Linked DNA regions of Arabidopsis thaliana. The protein of the gene in region 1 interacts with the protein of each later gene in a biochemical or structural test. Each region holds a gene or a part of one and is shown on either strand. Other genes may lie near its edges.

Region 1 (8,469 bases):
CAGATTAACGTTTTATTTTGGATTGGCTTTTGCTTATTTCTTACTGTTGTTTCTTATATATAAACTTTACCTCTTAAAAAAGATTCAAGAACAATAGAATTTAGGCATTGTAGTATATAGGTTCTCTCAATAAATTGGGAAATAACGACCGGTTTTTCCAACAGAATTTTCGGCTTAGTCTGTAATGTAATCATCAAAAATTGCATTATTTGCTTTACGACTACAGCTCAACTGGGCCACCCTGATTACTTATCCGACCCGGCCCGACCCATCCGGATCTTCCTTCTCTTGTTTAAATTAAAGCAGATAAAAAGGAAACTGGAAAATTCAGTTCAAGTATTGTCGTCGGAATATTACTCTTCACCGGCCAGGTAAAGCTTTCCTACGACTATGCTTGTGTTCGTCGGAATGTGTTTTTCTTTCTTTTTCTTATAGTCTCTGGTCGCTAATGACTCGTATTCTTGGTCCAGTTTTCAGCTCTTGTGTGTAAATTTGTTAGTCTTTTTTAATGTCGAGTAATTGGGGAAGTAGCTCGCGAGATAGCTCGGGAAGTAGTTCAAGAAGCGATGTTGACAACTCGTTTGATGCTGACGAACTTTTACAGATTGGTTCAAGATGTATGGAGGTGAATCTGTTTTTCTTTCTCTATATCCTTTGTCTCAGAGATTGATGAAGTTCATATTTTTGGCTTTATGATCTCATGTTTTCATTGTAATTGTAGCTACGGAGAGAAAAGGAGATGCTTAGAGAATCTCAGTCACAGAGTGTTGAACTTGTCAGAGTATGTTCCTCTTGTGTGTTTTAGACTAGTGAATTGATTGTTCAAACTTTTTCTGAGATTTGTTGTCTTTTTTTTTTTTACCCTAGAGGTTGGAACTGAATGCGAATTCGTTGTCAGAGTCTCGTTTAGAAGATAAGAGAAGAATTCAGATGTTGGAGAAAGAATTGTTGAATTGCTACCAGGAGATTGGTAATGGAGAGATTCTCATGAAACTGAAATCTAGGCATATATTTTATATGAGCTAAAAAACACTTTCTTTGTCTTTCAGATTATTTGCGGGATCAAGTAAACTTCAGAAGCCAGGAAATGAACGACCTGAGTGAACATGTACTCGATCTTGAAGTCAGAGTAACTAAATCAGGGAAATTGGAAGAAGAAGTTAACTATTTGAGGGAGGAGTTGTGTTCGTCGAAATCTGAGCAGCTATTGTTGTTGCAAGAACTGGAGAGCACAGAAACTGAGCTACAGTTTTCTTTGTTTTCTGTTGAGAAGCTGGAGGAGTCGGTCTCATCCTTAACATTGGAGTCTCAGTGTGAGATAGAAAGCATAAAACTTGATATAGTAGCGTTGGAGCAGGCGCTCTTTGATGCTCAGAAATTTCAAGGTGAAAGCATCCAAGAAAACGATAAGTTAAGAGAAATAGTCAAGGAGCTACGGTTGAACTCTCGAGAGGCAGAAGAGAATGCTGAGTGTTTAGAGAAGCAAAACAAGGAGCTGATGGAGAGATGTGTAGCCTCTGAAAGGAATATCAAAGACTTACGTCAAAGCTTTAGAGGAAGGTTGGAAAGTGAAAGTGAAGCGCCTGTAAATCCAGATTGTTTCCATGACATCATCAAGAAATTAGAGGTTTTCCAGGATGGGAAACTGAGAGACAAAATGGAAGATATGGCAAGACAGATACTTCAATACAAAGATCTTGTAAAGCAGCTCAAGGTATTAGTTACCAAACAAAACAGTAGAATCAAAAATTTGGTGCCTTTTTGCAGCGTCACACATATTCTAACTAGTTAAACCATTATTTTGTTATGCCTAAGGATGAGTTGAAAGAAGAGAAACTAAAGGCCAAGGAAGAAGCAGAGGACTTAACACAAGAAATGGCTGAATTAAGATATGAAATGACATGTTTATTGGAGGAAGAATGCAAGCGGCGTGCATGCATCGAACAAGCATCATTACAAAGAATAGCCAATCTAGAAGCACAGGTACTTGCTTCTTTATATCTTCCAATTTTTTTATTTTTTTTGAGCCATCAGATATTGTTGAAGGAACCTAACAAATATCCATTTTCTTGTTAAGATCAAGAGAGAGAAGAACAAGTCCTCAACTTGCTTAGTTCCTCTTCCTGCTGTATAAACCAGCTAAGGTTCGAGTTAAACTTGAAATCACAGTTAATGCCTCAAATAAGCCTTTAAGCTATAAGGTTTGAATTCTTATGTATTTAAAGTGTACATAATCCAATTTGATTGGAAATTGGAATATAGATTTCATCCCTGTGATTATGTTTATATATGGAAATTGAGTTTTACAAGAGTGAAACTGCTTCTTCATGTGCCTACCAAAAAAAAAAACTGCTTCTTCATGTGGCTTCTAAGTGTTTAATTACGCCTTCAGCAACATGTAGAGATCTTGAGAAATTGACATGAGTCTCTAGAGAATGTTGAAAGCTGTGGTCGTTGACCAAGAAGATTCTTACTATTTGACTCTATTTGATAGGCCTGTAATGAGCCTAGGTCAATAAGGCTGAGTTTATTTGATGGCCCGTTTTTCTCTCTTTTATTGTTCTTCTTTTTCTTGTGAAAATAAAGAAATCTGGAAGCGTTGTTGTATCATCATGTATGTGCAGAGTCTAGTAACCTTGTTGTTGATGCAAAGGGATAAATGAATGGGTCAAGGAAAAGAACCTGTTGTCTTTATTGTTAATCAAGACACTTGTAGATTTGTTGTCTAACCTAATCCAACTTGACTTTAAGCAAAAACATATTCCAACTTGTTCTTCACCAAAATGATATGTTGAAATATCGTATCTACTAGGACATCAAGATTTTGTTGTAGTCGTTATCAATGTAACCGGTAACAAATAAAAATTAATGAGATAAATTAGGCATGATCATATCCATAGATATTGTCAAACAATTTTCTATCTTCAAGTAGTTTTTGGTTTTGGGCGAAAATATGTTCTCTTTGACAAATTCAACAAAGACCATTCTTTTTGGATGACAAAATTGACAACTTACCCATTCTTTTTGGGCTCATACAATTTATCAACTAAACCATCAGTACAAAAAAAGAAGCAGAAATTAGAAAAATATAAGAAAATGACTCTTTCTCTGTAAGAAAAAATCCAACTACGTTTATTATATCCACAATTACGTCCTATATACAATTAAAAAGATCTAAATTGCTCTATTTTCGTTAGAAAGTAGTTACTTTTTACTTTTTTAGAAGTTTGATCTAGAAAAAAAAAGAATTATATATATGACCGTTTTAGATTTGAATTAAATGATTTTGTTTTATTTATTAATTGATCCACGTTCCTTTCTACAATTTGTTTTTTTTTTAATCTCCTTGATAAATTTTCGTCAACACATACCCAAAGACCTCCTTGTTGTACTCTCAAATTCTTGGGTCGTTCTGAGTCGTCTCCGCGTTAAATCTTTTCCCTTTTTGATCCTTTCTTCCTTTCTTCTTCTTCTTCGCATTGATTTGGTCCTCCTTCCTCTTCTATTCTATTCATTAAGAACCTAATCTTCATCTTCTCCATCTTCTTCTTCACGGACTCCACTTCGCTCATCCAGGTAACCACAATCTGCTCTCTATCTTTTGCTTCAAAATTCTCAGTTCCTTTCTTCTCAATTTCCGTCTGCTAGATCCTGGGCTTTCGATTTGTTCCGTTCCTCTTCTGCGATTGTTTCGTTCCAGAGAGAATTATCGAAATAATTAAGCGAATTTTGTGTGTGGTTTTCATAGTCTTGGGTTCTTTAGCCGCTACATATACTCAATTATGCCCAAAATTAGGTTTAAAATTGATTAACTAAAACTTATACTTTTTGGTCTCGTCTTATGTTATCGTTTAAATTGTTCTTAGAAGTGAAATCATTCGATGCTACGTTTTTGACTTGTTGCTTTACTTTATCTATACCTTTGATTTGATCAACTTTTCTCTTAGCTTACAAGTTAGAATCAAAGCATCAATCCTGATTACTGTTTTGGTTTCTGCAGGAAGGTTTATTAGTAGTAACCAATCCAAGTGTTCCTTTTGTTTGAAGCAACAAGCTTTGTGATATTATCCTGAGAGACAATGTTTGGTTTAAGGAAATCACCGGCAAATCTTCCCAAGCATAACTCAGTCGACCTCAAGTCTTCCAAGCCAAATCCTTTCGATTCAGATGATGAATCTGACAACAAACATACCCTTAACCCTTCTAAGAGGACTACCTCTGAACCCTCTTTGGCTGATATGACAAACCCTTTTGGTGGTGAGAGAGTTCAGAAAGGAGATAGTAGTTCATCCAAACAGTCATTGTTTTCGAACTCCAAATACCAGTACAAGAACAATTTCCGTGATTCTGGTGGTATTGAAAACCAGTCGGTTCAGGAGCTTGAAGGTTATGCTGTGTACAAGGCTGAAGAGACTACGAAATCTGTACAAGGTTGTTTGAAGGTAGCAGAAGATATAAGGTCTGATGCTACCAGAACTTTGGTCATGTTACACGATCAGGGCGAGCAAATCACTAGGACGCACCATAAAGCCGTTGAAATCGACCATGATCTCAGTCGTGTGAGTTTTTCTTCCTTCTGGTTCTTGATTATAAAATGGAAACATTCAATCTTTTTCTGAGGACATTAGTTGGTGTGAGATAAGAAGACGGTAGACATTTGATGCTGAAACTAGTTGGATTTTTGGTTTTCAGGGTGAGAAACTTCTTGGAAGCCTTGGAGGCATGTTTTCAAAGACTTGGAAACCAAAGAAGACTCGTCCTATAAATGGTCCCGTCGTAACCAGAGGTTTGCTTCTTGGTCATTGATATCTCAATTCTTCTCGCAGCTATTTTACTTTCACCTAATTGCTGAATCCTTTATTTTGTGTTTTTGCTTAGATGACTCACCAACGAGAAGAGTTAACCACTTAGAGAAAAGGGAAAAACTGGGACTGAACTCAGCACCCAGAGGACAATCAAGAACCCGAGAACCACTCCCCGAATCAGCTGATGCTTATCAGAGAGTGGAGGTTTGGACTTCTCTTCCCTCTCTTCAATTTTTCCTTTCATAAGAACATTACTATACTCCTGCATCTGATATGAGTGATGCATGAACTCTTTATCTGTGGTCCTGTAATGCTAACAATTTGAGACATTGATGACTCATCAATGATGAGCATATATATCTGAGTGAAAAACATGTGTTTTGGACGCCACTAAACTTAATACTGGTTTATTACAGATGGAAAAAGCTAAGCAAGACGATGGGCTTTCAGACTTGAGTGATATACTCGGCGAGCTAAAGAACATGGCTGTTGACATGGGAAGCGAAATCGAGAAGCAGAACAAAGGACTTGACCATCTTCATGATGATGTTGACGAACTCAACTTCAGAGTGCAACAATCAAACCAACGTGGTCGCCGTTTGCTTGGAAAGTAGATGAACAGAGGGTTTATATGTTCATTACACTCATTCCTCGTTTGTTTTATTCTCTATGAAGTTGTTCTTTAAAACTGGAAAGATTCTTATCATGTTAAATACATTATTGCTATCTGTGTTTGTATTTGATCTTGTGACAAAAAACCAAAAAACTTATTGATCAAACAGAAGCAACTTTGGTATCGTTTTTATCTGTATCATAAAGCTTTCTCAAGAAATTCTGATAATAGATGAAATTATGAGTTTTAATCTCAGATTTATAACCTAAAAATATCAGTGCTAGAATACGACATAAGAATACAGAAACTCCAGACAAGTTGGAACATATGTTATGCAACAACTGCACAATCATGTGAGATTATTCAAAAGAACAAAAAAACCAGGAACTCTTCATTCCCTTTAGTCTTCCTCAGCTACAATCCAAGGGATATATTCCACAATGTCCTCTTCTTCACTTGTATAATGTCTGAAGCCATAAAACACAAAGACTACTAATGAGAACTAGACAAAGCAATCTGACATAGTTGGAAAGAACTATGAATAGAGGAAATAATAATCTCATACAAACACCACTTGTTCCCGAATCATATTCTCAAGCCACAAACTCGACAATCAATGAATATAAAGTGGCTCCAACATGACCATTAAAAACAAATAGCTTTGGAGGATATTGTAATGACAAACATACATCTACTGAAGCTTGACTTCCATGATGTTCTTGGTCTTGGGAGGATATGCCAAGTAAACCTTGAGCACTCTCTCAGCAACAAAAAGCTGTTTTTTAGCTTCAGCATAAGCCTCAGTCACCTTCGATGGGTCAGTGAGATTCTTGTTCATGCGGAAGCCATCCAAGGTCCTTCGCTTACTGTACTCCCTAATGTTGTAATCAGGGAATTGACGTCCCGCTCGAAGCAAGGCACGACATAGGCTAAGAACTTCACTACTAGACACCATTGCAAGATTGGAAACTAACCCTTAATTATACAAAGCCTGGTTAACTGCAATCAGTATAAGAACACAAAGAAGCTGAGATTAGCAATGCCGAAAAGGAAGAGAAGTAGTCAAGATGATCAAGGGATAAAGCTATACACTTCGACATGTAACAAGAAGTTATATAGATAAGTGAAAAGTATTAAGGACCAGTACATCATTTATAGAGCAAAAGAACCTAGATTCAGTAACATTAGTATATAGATAAGTATTGATTTGAGTAGTGTATATAAGGTATGAGAACCAGTTGCTGCAACATTAGAAACTAGGCACTAGAGTTCATGAAAATACGCAAAAGAACCAATATTAACTAATCGCAAACGCTTAAAACAATCAAGAAGAAACCTTAAAAGGCCATAAACGCACTTAGTAATCCTAAACTTCAGTAAAATGGATGAAATTGCAGTCACAGCCAAAAGAGACAATACATCTGAATCATGAGAGGATCCGATAAGCATAGAATTTGACGATAACGAGCTCCAGATACATATACATACCGAATCAAATCGTCGGAGAGTATTAATTTCCCGAGCTCGCCGTTGAAGTTCTCCGTTCGAAGGTTTTGATAGCAGCAAGCTGGGTCGTTCGGGGGAATAAATAAACTTTTAGGTTTACCCAAAACTAAACCGGGAAAACTGATTTGGGAACCGGATCAATTTTAGATTGAGTAAGAAAAGAACCGGTTTTAGAATGGGCTAGACACAAAGGCCTGTTAAATTGGGCCAATATGTGATAAGCCAGCCTTTTTTAATGAAGGTGTATGAGCTGGCATATTCGACAAGAAATAGTAAACAAAACCGATATTTATCATTCTCTGTCACGCCTTCTTCCTTCTCTACACGAATTCGATTCTCTCTTATCTCGACGAGAAAACCCTACTGCGAAAAAACTCCGATCTCTCTGGCGAGAAGTAAATTTTTATCTCTGAGCTTGGTTTCACCATTTCTCTATCTCTATCTCCTCGCTGGGTTACGGTACGAGCCTCTCAAACTTTTCGATTCCTTGTGTTCATAAGTATGTGTGAAAATCCTTGCGTGTCGAGATTGATTTTTCTCTTTTTCGTTTCGGATTCATCGTTGGATTCTTATTTCGTCAATGTTTTTCTGTGATTTGTTCTGATTCATGTGTAATTTGTAGCTGACTTGATTGGTGATCGATGATTAAAATTTGTACTCGTTAGTTCCCCCTTGATTCGATTGATTTTGTCTCTGTGAGGGTATTTTTTCTGATTCTATTGTATTGTTTGTAGATTTGCCAATATTAGAGACTACAAGTGTCGTAATTGGATTCTGAATGAACTTTTGAAACTCTACACGAGCTGGATTGTTGTGTTATTTATATTACAGAGAAATTTATAGCATTTTTGTTGTGTTCATCTGGTTTTCACTAATTTGGTTTTCTTCTCCATCTTTTGTTGATAGGTTTGGTAAGGTCAGTGTTCTCTAAGGCTGAAATTTGGGGGTTTCTCAGTCTCGATGTGGTCGTGCTCCGTTAGGATTCTTCACAATCATTAGGGTTATATTTCTTACAAACTGATGCTCATTTTCTCTTCCCTGTCTATGGCTTTATCTGTGATCCTTCAAAAGCTTAGTGTCTTCGGCCCTGGTTTGAATCCTTCTTTCCCTTACTGCATCGCCAATCACTCCTTTGCCTCCCGTTAATTGAGTTGCTCTCTTTCAACTTAATTACATTAGTCTGCTTCCTTTGCTGTCTAGTCTGGATAGTGTTGCAAATCAAGTAGTATCTTCTTTAGACATTCTTGGCTGAGAGATTTACACTAAAAGCATAGAATAAGAAACCCCTGTTTGGTTAGTATCTACCCGAGTCTCGTAGTCCTACACAGATCCGGATCCTAGTTTCGAAGCTAGTTCTTGTTTAGCTGAAGCTCAGACCCAAAATGCTCCAAGAACCGTCGGCTGCATTCTCCCTCCGGCGTAACTCATTCAGACGCCGATCTCCCAGATCAAATGTCGATGACAGAGGCTGGAATCCGCTCCATATCAAAGCCAGAAAAGGCGATCTGAAATCTGTCAAGCAGCTTCTCGACCAAGGAATGGATG
Region 2 (7,376 bases), on another chromosome or scaffold:
GGTGGAGAAAACAACCGCCTAGGACAAAAAAAAATTGTGGGTAGAGGAGGAGGAGGAGGCTTTGTTCACACACCACACGACGGAACATTCTCTTCCGAGTCTTATCCAAAGCAAAATCATATTTTGCTTAAATATCTTCTTCTCCGGCTCTGTCTCTGTCTCTCTTCTTCCCGCGGAGCTTTCAGTTTTTGTTTGGTAACATCGTTTCTCTTTCTCACTAACTCTGATATCATATTATCAATTTTTCCTTTTCAACACCCAAAATCACAATCTTTCAGCTTTATTCTGTTTTTCCTTGCTTGAGAATTGTGTTCGATTCATGTCTACGAACTGAAATCACAAATTTTGCCAACGTTTTATGATTCCTGGTTCCGTATTTTTTTTTTTGTAATCAATAGTTAGCTCATTTCGAATAATCAAACTCAATTTTATTGTTCATGATTTGTTATCTGGGATAAAAGAGAGTAATGTGCTAATTATGTATACTCAGGTATTGCTTGGTGTGGGGAAGATTAGATAGTGTGAAGAATGGCAGTAGCTACACATTGTTTCACTTCACCTTGTCATGACCGTATTCGATTTTTCTCAAGTGATGATGGTATTGGTAGGCTTGGCATTACAAGAAAGAGGATCAATGGCACTTTCTTGCTCAAGATTTTACCTCCAATCCAAAGTGCTGATCTCAGAACAACTGGTGGGAGATCCTCACGTCCTTTATCTGCATTCAGGTCAGGATTCTCTAAGGTAATCAATCATACTAGTCTTGTGTTTCAATACAAAATTTGGTATTTCGATGATCTCATTGCTTTTGATCATGTCAGGGGATATTTGACATTGTGCCATTACCATCAAAGAATGAGCTGAAAGAGCTGACCGCTCCGCTGTTGCTAAAACTCGTGGGTGTTTTAGCTTGCGCGTTCCTTATTGTTCCATCTGCAGATGCAGTTGATGCACTTAAAACTTGTGCATGCTTATTGAAGGGATGCAGGTAACTTTCCTTCGTTTGGATTCTGCATATATAGTGTCCCCCCACCAAAACCGGTTTTATTTTCATTGTGATTGTGATGCTATAAGTGTTTTGAATTGTATAGCTCCATACTCTTCAATTGTTGAGAATGTTAAAGCTAGATGAAGTTACTGTGTCTGTCTATGATAGAGCTGAAATCAGTTGATGATATCTTTCTGATTTTTTTGCCGTCAATTTATATATTTCCCTCCTTGTCTGACCATATGGAAGCCCAATTATCTGTTAGGATAGAACTCGCAAAGTGCATTGCCAACCCTGCCTGTGCAGCCAATGTCGCGTGCCTTCAGACCTGCAATAACCGTCCAGATGAAACCGAGTGCCAGGTTATAATTTATTTTGATATATCATTTTATGAGGCAGAGATATTGCTTGCTTATGAAAGAAGACCAATGATTTTGTTTATAATTATGTGCTTATATTATATCAGATTAAATGTGGGGATCTGTTTGAGAACAGTGTTGTTGATGAGTTCAACGAGTGTGCTGTGTCGAGAAAAAAGTGTGTTCCTAGAAAATCTGATCTCGGAGAATTTCCTGCCCCAGACCCTTCTGTTCTTGTACAGAACTTCAACATCTCGGACTTTAACGGGAAGTGGTACATTACAAGTGGCTTGAATCCAACCTTTGATGCCTTCGACTGCCAGCTGCATGAGTTCCACACAGAAGGTGACAACAAGCTTGTTGGAAACATCTCTTGGAGAATAAAGACCCTAGACAGTGGATTCTTTACTAGGTCAGCCGTACAAAAATTCGTGCAAGATCCTAACCAACCTGGTGTTCTCTACAATCATGACAACGAGTACCTTCACTATCAAGATGACTGGTAATAACATCTTGTATCCACCCACGAGGGAGAGTCTTGATAGTGCTGCTATTCTTCTTTGGCCTAACAAGCTTTCATATGATTTTTGCAGGTATATCCTGTCATCAAAGATAGAGAATAAACCTGAAGACTATATATTTGTATACTACCGTGGGCGAAACGATGCTTGGGATGGATATGGTGGTGCAGTTGTATACACGAGAAGTTCTGTATTACCCAATAGCATTATACCAGAACTCGAAAAAGCAGCAAAAAGCATAGGCAGAGACTTCAGCACATTCATTAGAACGGATAACACATGTGGTCCTGAACCTGCGCTCGTGGAGAGAATTGAGAAGACAGTGGAAGAAGGTGAAAGGATAATCGTAAAAGAGGTTGAAGAGATAGAAGAAGAGGTAGAGAAGGAAGTGGAGAAGGTCGGTAGGACTGAGATGACCTTGTTCCAGAGATTGGCTGAAGGATTTAATGAACTGAAGCAAGACGAGGAGAATTTCGTGAGAGAGTTAAGTAAAGAAGAGATGGAGTTTTTGGATGAGATCAAAATGGAAGCAAGTGAGGTTGAAAAATTGTTTGGGAAAGCTTTGCCAATCAGGAAGGTCAGGTAGAAACAAGAACCACCATTGTTGTACAAACTATATTATACATACTGTGTTCGGTTCATATAAAGTAATATTTTTGTACACAGTCATCATCATTCCATAACAATTGGATACAGAAAACACAAGGATTAAACATCCTTTGAGCGAAACAAACAACGATTGGTAAACATAGTACCTCAAGAAGAGCTGAAAGTGTTAACAATGGGGATGACAACATTTAGAATGATCAAGAGGATTAAGTCAACTGGGTATCTTTGTAAACATTCACCATTTCATTGAAATTGGATACAAGACACGAAAGGATTAAGACATCCTTGAAGAACACAAAAGGATTAAGACATCCATTGGTACAAAGAAGAGCGAAACAAAACAAAAGGAGTGAACATAGCCAGTATCTCAAGAAGAGCTGAAACTGGTAATGATGGGGATGACAACAATGAGAATGATCAAAAGCAGCACAATGATACCAATGCACATCCATTTTCTGCTGTTTCTCTGATGACTCTTTGCAGTCTTCAGCTCATTAGCTCCATCAGCCACGTAATGGCTCGCATTAATCACATGATGCTCGATCTCGTCCATCTGTTCACCTTGCGATTCAACCATCACAGCCATATCAAGAAACACTTGGTGAAGCTCCAACAGACTCTTCTCAATCTCCTTTGCTGCATCATACCTGTCTTGAATCTCAACCACAGTTTCCAAGACCTTTCCTTTACCATGTTCCTGAATTGCTCGCGTGAGAAACTCTTCACCTCCAGCGTTATCAGTGATGATCTTCTCAATCATCTCATCATTAGCATGTTCTCCAGTGACAGTGAAGTACCTTCTCTCAACAGTCTCCTTGTACTCACTCATCATCTTTTGCCTCAGCCCCTGAAACTCCATCATCACTTCCTTAAGTTTCTTCCTCAGCCCATTAGTCACAGCGGTTCTGCTCCTATAAACCGGAGTCCCAGAGAGCCTTTTAATCTCCTTGTTGGCTTTATCCATCTCTTCCAGCTTCGACTTAATCGATTTCGCCTTCCTCAAACCAGACACAATCTCGTTAGAGATCTTGTTACGAAGAGACTTCACAGACTCTGCCTTGTGAACACCTTTACTCTCTTCATGGTACTGTTCGATCCGAGCCAGCGTCTCACTAATCAAACCCATCTCTGCTTTCACATACTCTGCTTCTTCTAAGAAAGATGACAGATTCTCATCCATCTTGTCTGCTTTCGTAGAAGCCATCTCAAGATCAAAGTCAGGTCCTGCTTCCATATCCTTCATCGCTGCTTTTTTCAAGTCAACGTAACTCATAAACGATTTCGTCATCAAGTCGTTCATCTTTTTCACCTGAAAGTCAACAATTTTACAAGAATCAGAGAGAATCGCAGTGATTGTAACAGAATCAAACAAGAGAAAATCAAAGAAAATACAACATACTCTTCTGATTAGTGTGTTCTTCTAGATCCACAAAGTTTCTGCCCAGAAAGTGAGAGAGTAGTGTGAAGTAAAGCTTACTATAGAATTTGATTAGCGATTTGTGAGATGAGAGAAAGCTTTCTTTCTAATATAAGAAAAAGGAGAAATTAGCCGTTACTGTGATTTCTTCGCCCCAACGGCTATATTTTGGCGATGTATCCGTTGTCGTCCATTTGTCTATCTGTTTCTGTTTCTTCAAATCTATTTTTAAATTCATGTGAATTTCTTTCGAAACTTTAAAATAATATAGGGACTAAATTGTAATTAGATGTATGTTTTAGTGCCGACGTGTGTGATTGAGACAGCTTTAAAGATATCGAAACTGAGAAGAAAATATAGGGACTAAATTGTAATTATGTGTATGACATCGCTTTTGTCGACAAATCATCATTGGTGACGATTTACGAAAGCAAAGAAGAGGTGTTCTTAGCTGCACATTTGTCACCATTTATACAAAAATTGTGGTTCTTGTGTTTTGTTTTTTATGTTGGAAAACTTATGGTATAGTTTCTTTTGTTACGATACACCTTAGTTGAACCATTCAAATTATTAGGATATTTTCAAATATATAATATTTTAATTCTAATTTCGTATGTAAACGACTCTCCAATAAAACATCTCCACTAGCTTGTTGGTCTCTAAACTTGAAATCAGTTTTTATTTTTCTTGTAATATTTTCAAAATTGTTTCAATATCGTAGACAAATTTTAAATAAAATGTACATCATATCTCTATAAACTTAATAATACCCAAAATTTTGACTAATCACATTAAATTCCTTATGATATTCGAATAAAAAAATAATTTAATAATATTTATTGTAGTCGCAATTCAATATTTATTCTGTAATGCTTGAAAAATGTTTTTAAAAACTGTGTCACTACATTACTATAACGTTAGTATGTACTAAATTTTGTAACGTTTCATGGTTATAAAATAGTATTAGTTTACCGACAAAAATATATAGATTACGTAACGCTTGTTTTACATTAAAACAAATTTGTTAGGATTGTTTTGTCTATTCTACATTCGTCACATTTGTTTTGTTTAAACTTTTTGTTTTCTAATTAAAAAATTATTCTGTTTTTGTAATTAAATATAGTAAATTTGTTTGCCGCCCAAAAAAATATTACATAACGCTTGTTTTACATTAAAATAAAGTTGCTTCGATTGTTTTGGCTGTTCAACTCTAGTCACATTTGTTACGTTTGTTCTACTTATTGTCGTGAATCGATCGAAAACTTGTGCAATGTGGAATTGAGGGGGTTAGATGTAAACCAAAAAACTAAAAAGGGCAATCTCCAATTATTTTGTTAAAGAGGTGGCAATTGCAAATCTCCAATAATATAAAGTTCATAAAAAAGGTTAAAGGAGAGAGTTGTGGTGGAGAGAGTGAGACCCACGTGGGTGATGTGTTGGCAAACTATCTTCCTTAAAATCCAAATCCATTTATCCATCACTACTTTTTTTTCTTTTGTTTGGTAGTAAAATCCTTCACTAGTTGATTGCAGATGACTAATAAAGTAATAATCTTTCATTTTGGTGGTTCATCGCCTAATTTGTTGTTTACTTGATTGATAAATGTTTGAGGATGAAACTGTATCATTTATTTTTCTCAAAATTGTTTGGTTCATGACCTATATAATCCATTTGTTTAATATTAATATAGGTAAATTTAAAATTCGTTACTTAAATTGGCTAAACATACTCTTCAAAATAATATATATCCACTTAACATAGTTAAAACTCTGTATTCAGATAAAAGCATGGTAAAAAACCAAACATATCCATTTAAATGTATTCAAAGTCATGAGAAAATTTCCTATACTTGTTCCTTTATATCTGCGAGAAGTCATGAACCTTATCCATTTATTAGTTTTCTTCTGACCGACTAAACCTGATAATCACTAATCCACCGTTAGATCTTAAAATTCCAAATCCAAAATGGACGGTCAAGATCACTTAACGAAAAAGAAAACAGTTTCCTGTCCAGAAATGTCTAACCTTGAGGCCTTTTTCTCTTTCCTTTAAACTTTTTTTTTTCGATTATAAATTTTCTCGTGAAGCTAATTTTTCCTGAGAAAGAAAGCGAAACTTCGCTGGCGACTAAAGATTGCTGAGAAGACACGTCGTCTCTGTGAGAACTTTTTCTTTTTCTTCTGGTATATTCTGGAGACAGATATTGTTTTTTCTTCTGATTAGAGAATAATATGACGGAAGTGATTAGCAAAACGAGTTTGTTCTTAGGAGCTTGTGGTAATCATCACCGTGTTGATGATTTCTCTTTCTCTCCGGTGAGTTTTGGTGGGTTTGGTTTGAAAAAGAGTTTCTCTTGTCTGAAGCTTAAGAGTCAGAAGCCTCTTAGAAGTGTATTTTACGGAAAACAGATCGTTTTCGGAGATTCTCAAGACGAGAGCTTCAGAAGATCATCAGCTATCACAGCTCAGGTAGACTTTAATGTTTTGTGTTTTCGTTTTTGTTTATCTGAAATATTATAATCCATTACATGCGAGATCTAATTAGAAAGATCCTGAGAGCTAATTGTTGAAAGAATAGTTTTTTAGGGTTTTGCTTTAATTTTGTTGTGAATTATTGGCTTGAAGAGTAGATTTTGGTTTAGGGTTCATGTGTTTTCAATTTGATGTGTTGGTTTTATGGATCTGTGAAAATATGATATCTGACATGTGTAAATTTGCAGACAACTTTGAGGATTGGGACAGCTCAGAAGTGGTGGGAGAAAGGTCTGAAAGATAACATGAGAGAGATCTCTTCAGCTCAAGAGCTCGTTGATTCTCTTACTAACGCTGGTGATAAGCTTGTTGTTGTTGATTTCTTCTCACCTGGCTGTGGTGGCTGCAAGGCTCTCCATCCTAAGGTATCAATCCACTTCTTGGATTGTTTGGTACAGTATTGATGAAATGAACAAGTTTTCTAACAATGATGGTTTATGATTGTTGCAGATATGTCAGTTTGCAGAGATGAACCCGGATGTGCAGTTTCTTCAGGTGAATTACGAGGAGCATAAGTCCATGTGTTATAGTCTTGGTGTCCATGTTCTCCCTTTTTTCCGATTCTACCGTGGCTCTCAGGGTCGTGTTTGCAGCTTTAGCTGTACCAATGCCACGGTTCGTTCTCATTCTTATAATCCATGAGACAATCAATGAAAAAACCATCTTAGGTTCGATTTTGATCTTGATTTGTTTTATCTGTTTCAGATCAAGAAATTCAGAGATGCCTTGGCAAAGCATGGTCCAGATAGGTGCAGCCTCGGACCGACCAAAGGCCTTGAAGAGAAAGAGCTTGTGGCACTTGCAGCCAACAAAGAACTCAACTTTACTTACACACCAAAGCCTGTACCAGTTGAGAAAGAAGCAGCCACTCCTGATTCAAACCCAAGTCTCCCTGTTCCTCTTCCTTCGATGAGCTCCAATGACGAAAAAACATTGGTCTCCGCAGGGAGA

What was found.
Region 2: the proteins of SNAP33 (region 1) and SYP111 form a complex in vitro, tested with the Arabidopsis thaliana proteins (one study listed by BioGRID).

What each region holds. Positions count from the first base shown.
Region 1 is NC_003076.8:24,619,948-24,628,416, forward strand, and holds SNAP33 (soluble N-ethylmaleimide-sensitive factor adaptor protein 33), read left to right. Parts: upstream 1-3,300; 5' UTR 3,301-3,576; exon of another isoform or gene 3,577-3,796; intron 3,797-4,000; 5' UTR 4,001-4,079; coding exon 4,080-4,559; intron 4,560-4,692; coding exon 4,693-4,786; intron 4,787-4,878; coding exon 4,879-5,009; exon of another isoform or gene 5,010-5,221; coding exon 5,222-5,419; 3' UTR 5,420-5,684; downstream 5,685-8,469. Other genes in the region: AT5G61200 (myosin heavy chain-like protein), read left to right, coding at 509-625, 722-781, 868-970, 1,050-1,714, 1,816-1,983, 2,078-2,134; AT5G61220 (LYR family of Fe/S cluster biogenesis protein), read right to left, coding at 6,110-6,373; ANK6 (Ankyrin repeat family protein), read left to right, coding at 8,307-8,469. UniProt on the Arabidopsis thaliana protein: t-SNARE involved in diverse vesicle trafficking and membrane fusion processes, including cell plate formation. May function in the secretory pathway.
Region 2 is NC_003070.9:2,706,934-2,714,309, forward strand, and holds SYP111 (syntaxin of plants 111), read right to left. Parts: upstream 4,068-7,376; 5' UTR 3,877-4,067; intron 3,787-3,876; 5' UTR 3,778-3,786; coding exon 2,845-3,777; 3' UTR 2,592-2,844; downstream 1-2,591. Other genes in the region: NPQ1 (non-photochemical quenching 1), read left to right, coding at 529-744, 822-988, 1,254-1,350, 1,455-1,849, 1,941-2,454; ACHT4 (atypical CYS HIS rich thioredoxin 4), read left to right, coding at 6,126-6,362, 6,614-6,790, 6,876-7,040, 7,131-7,376. UniProt on the Arabidopsis thaliana protein: Involved in cytokinesis. Acts as a cell plate-specific syntaxin, required for the fusion of vesicles at the plane of cell division.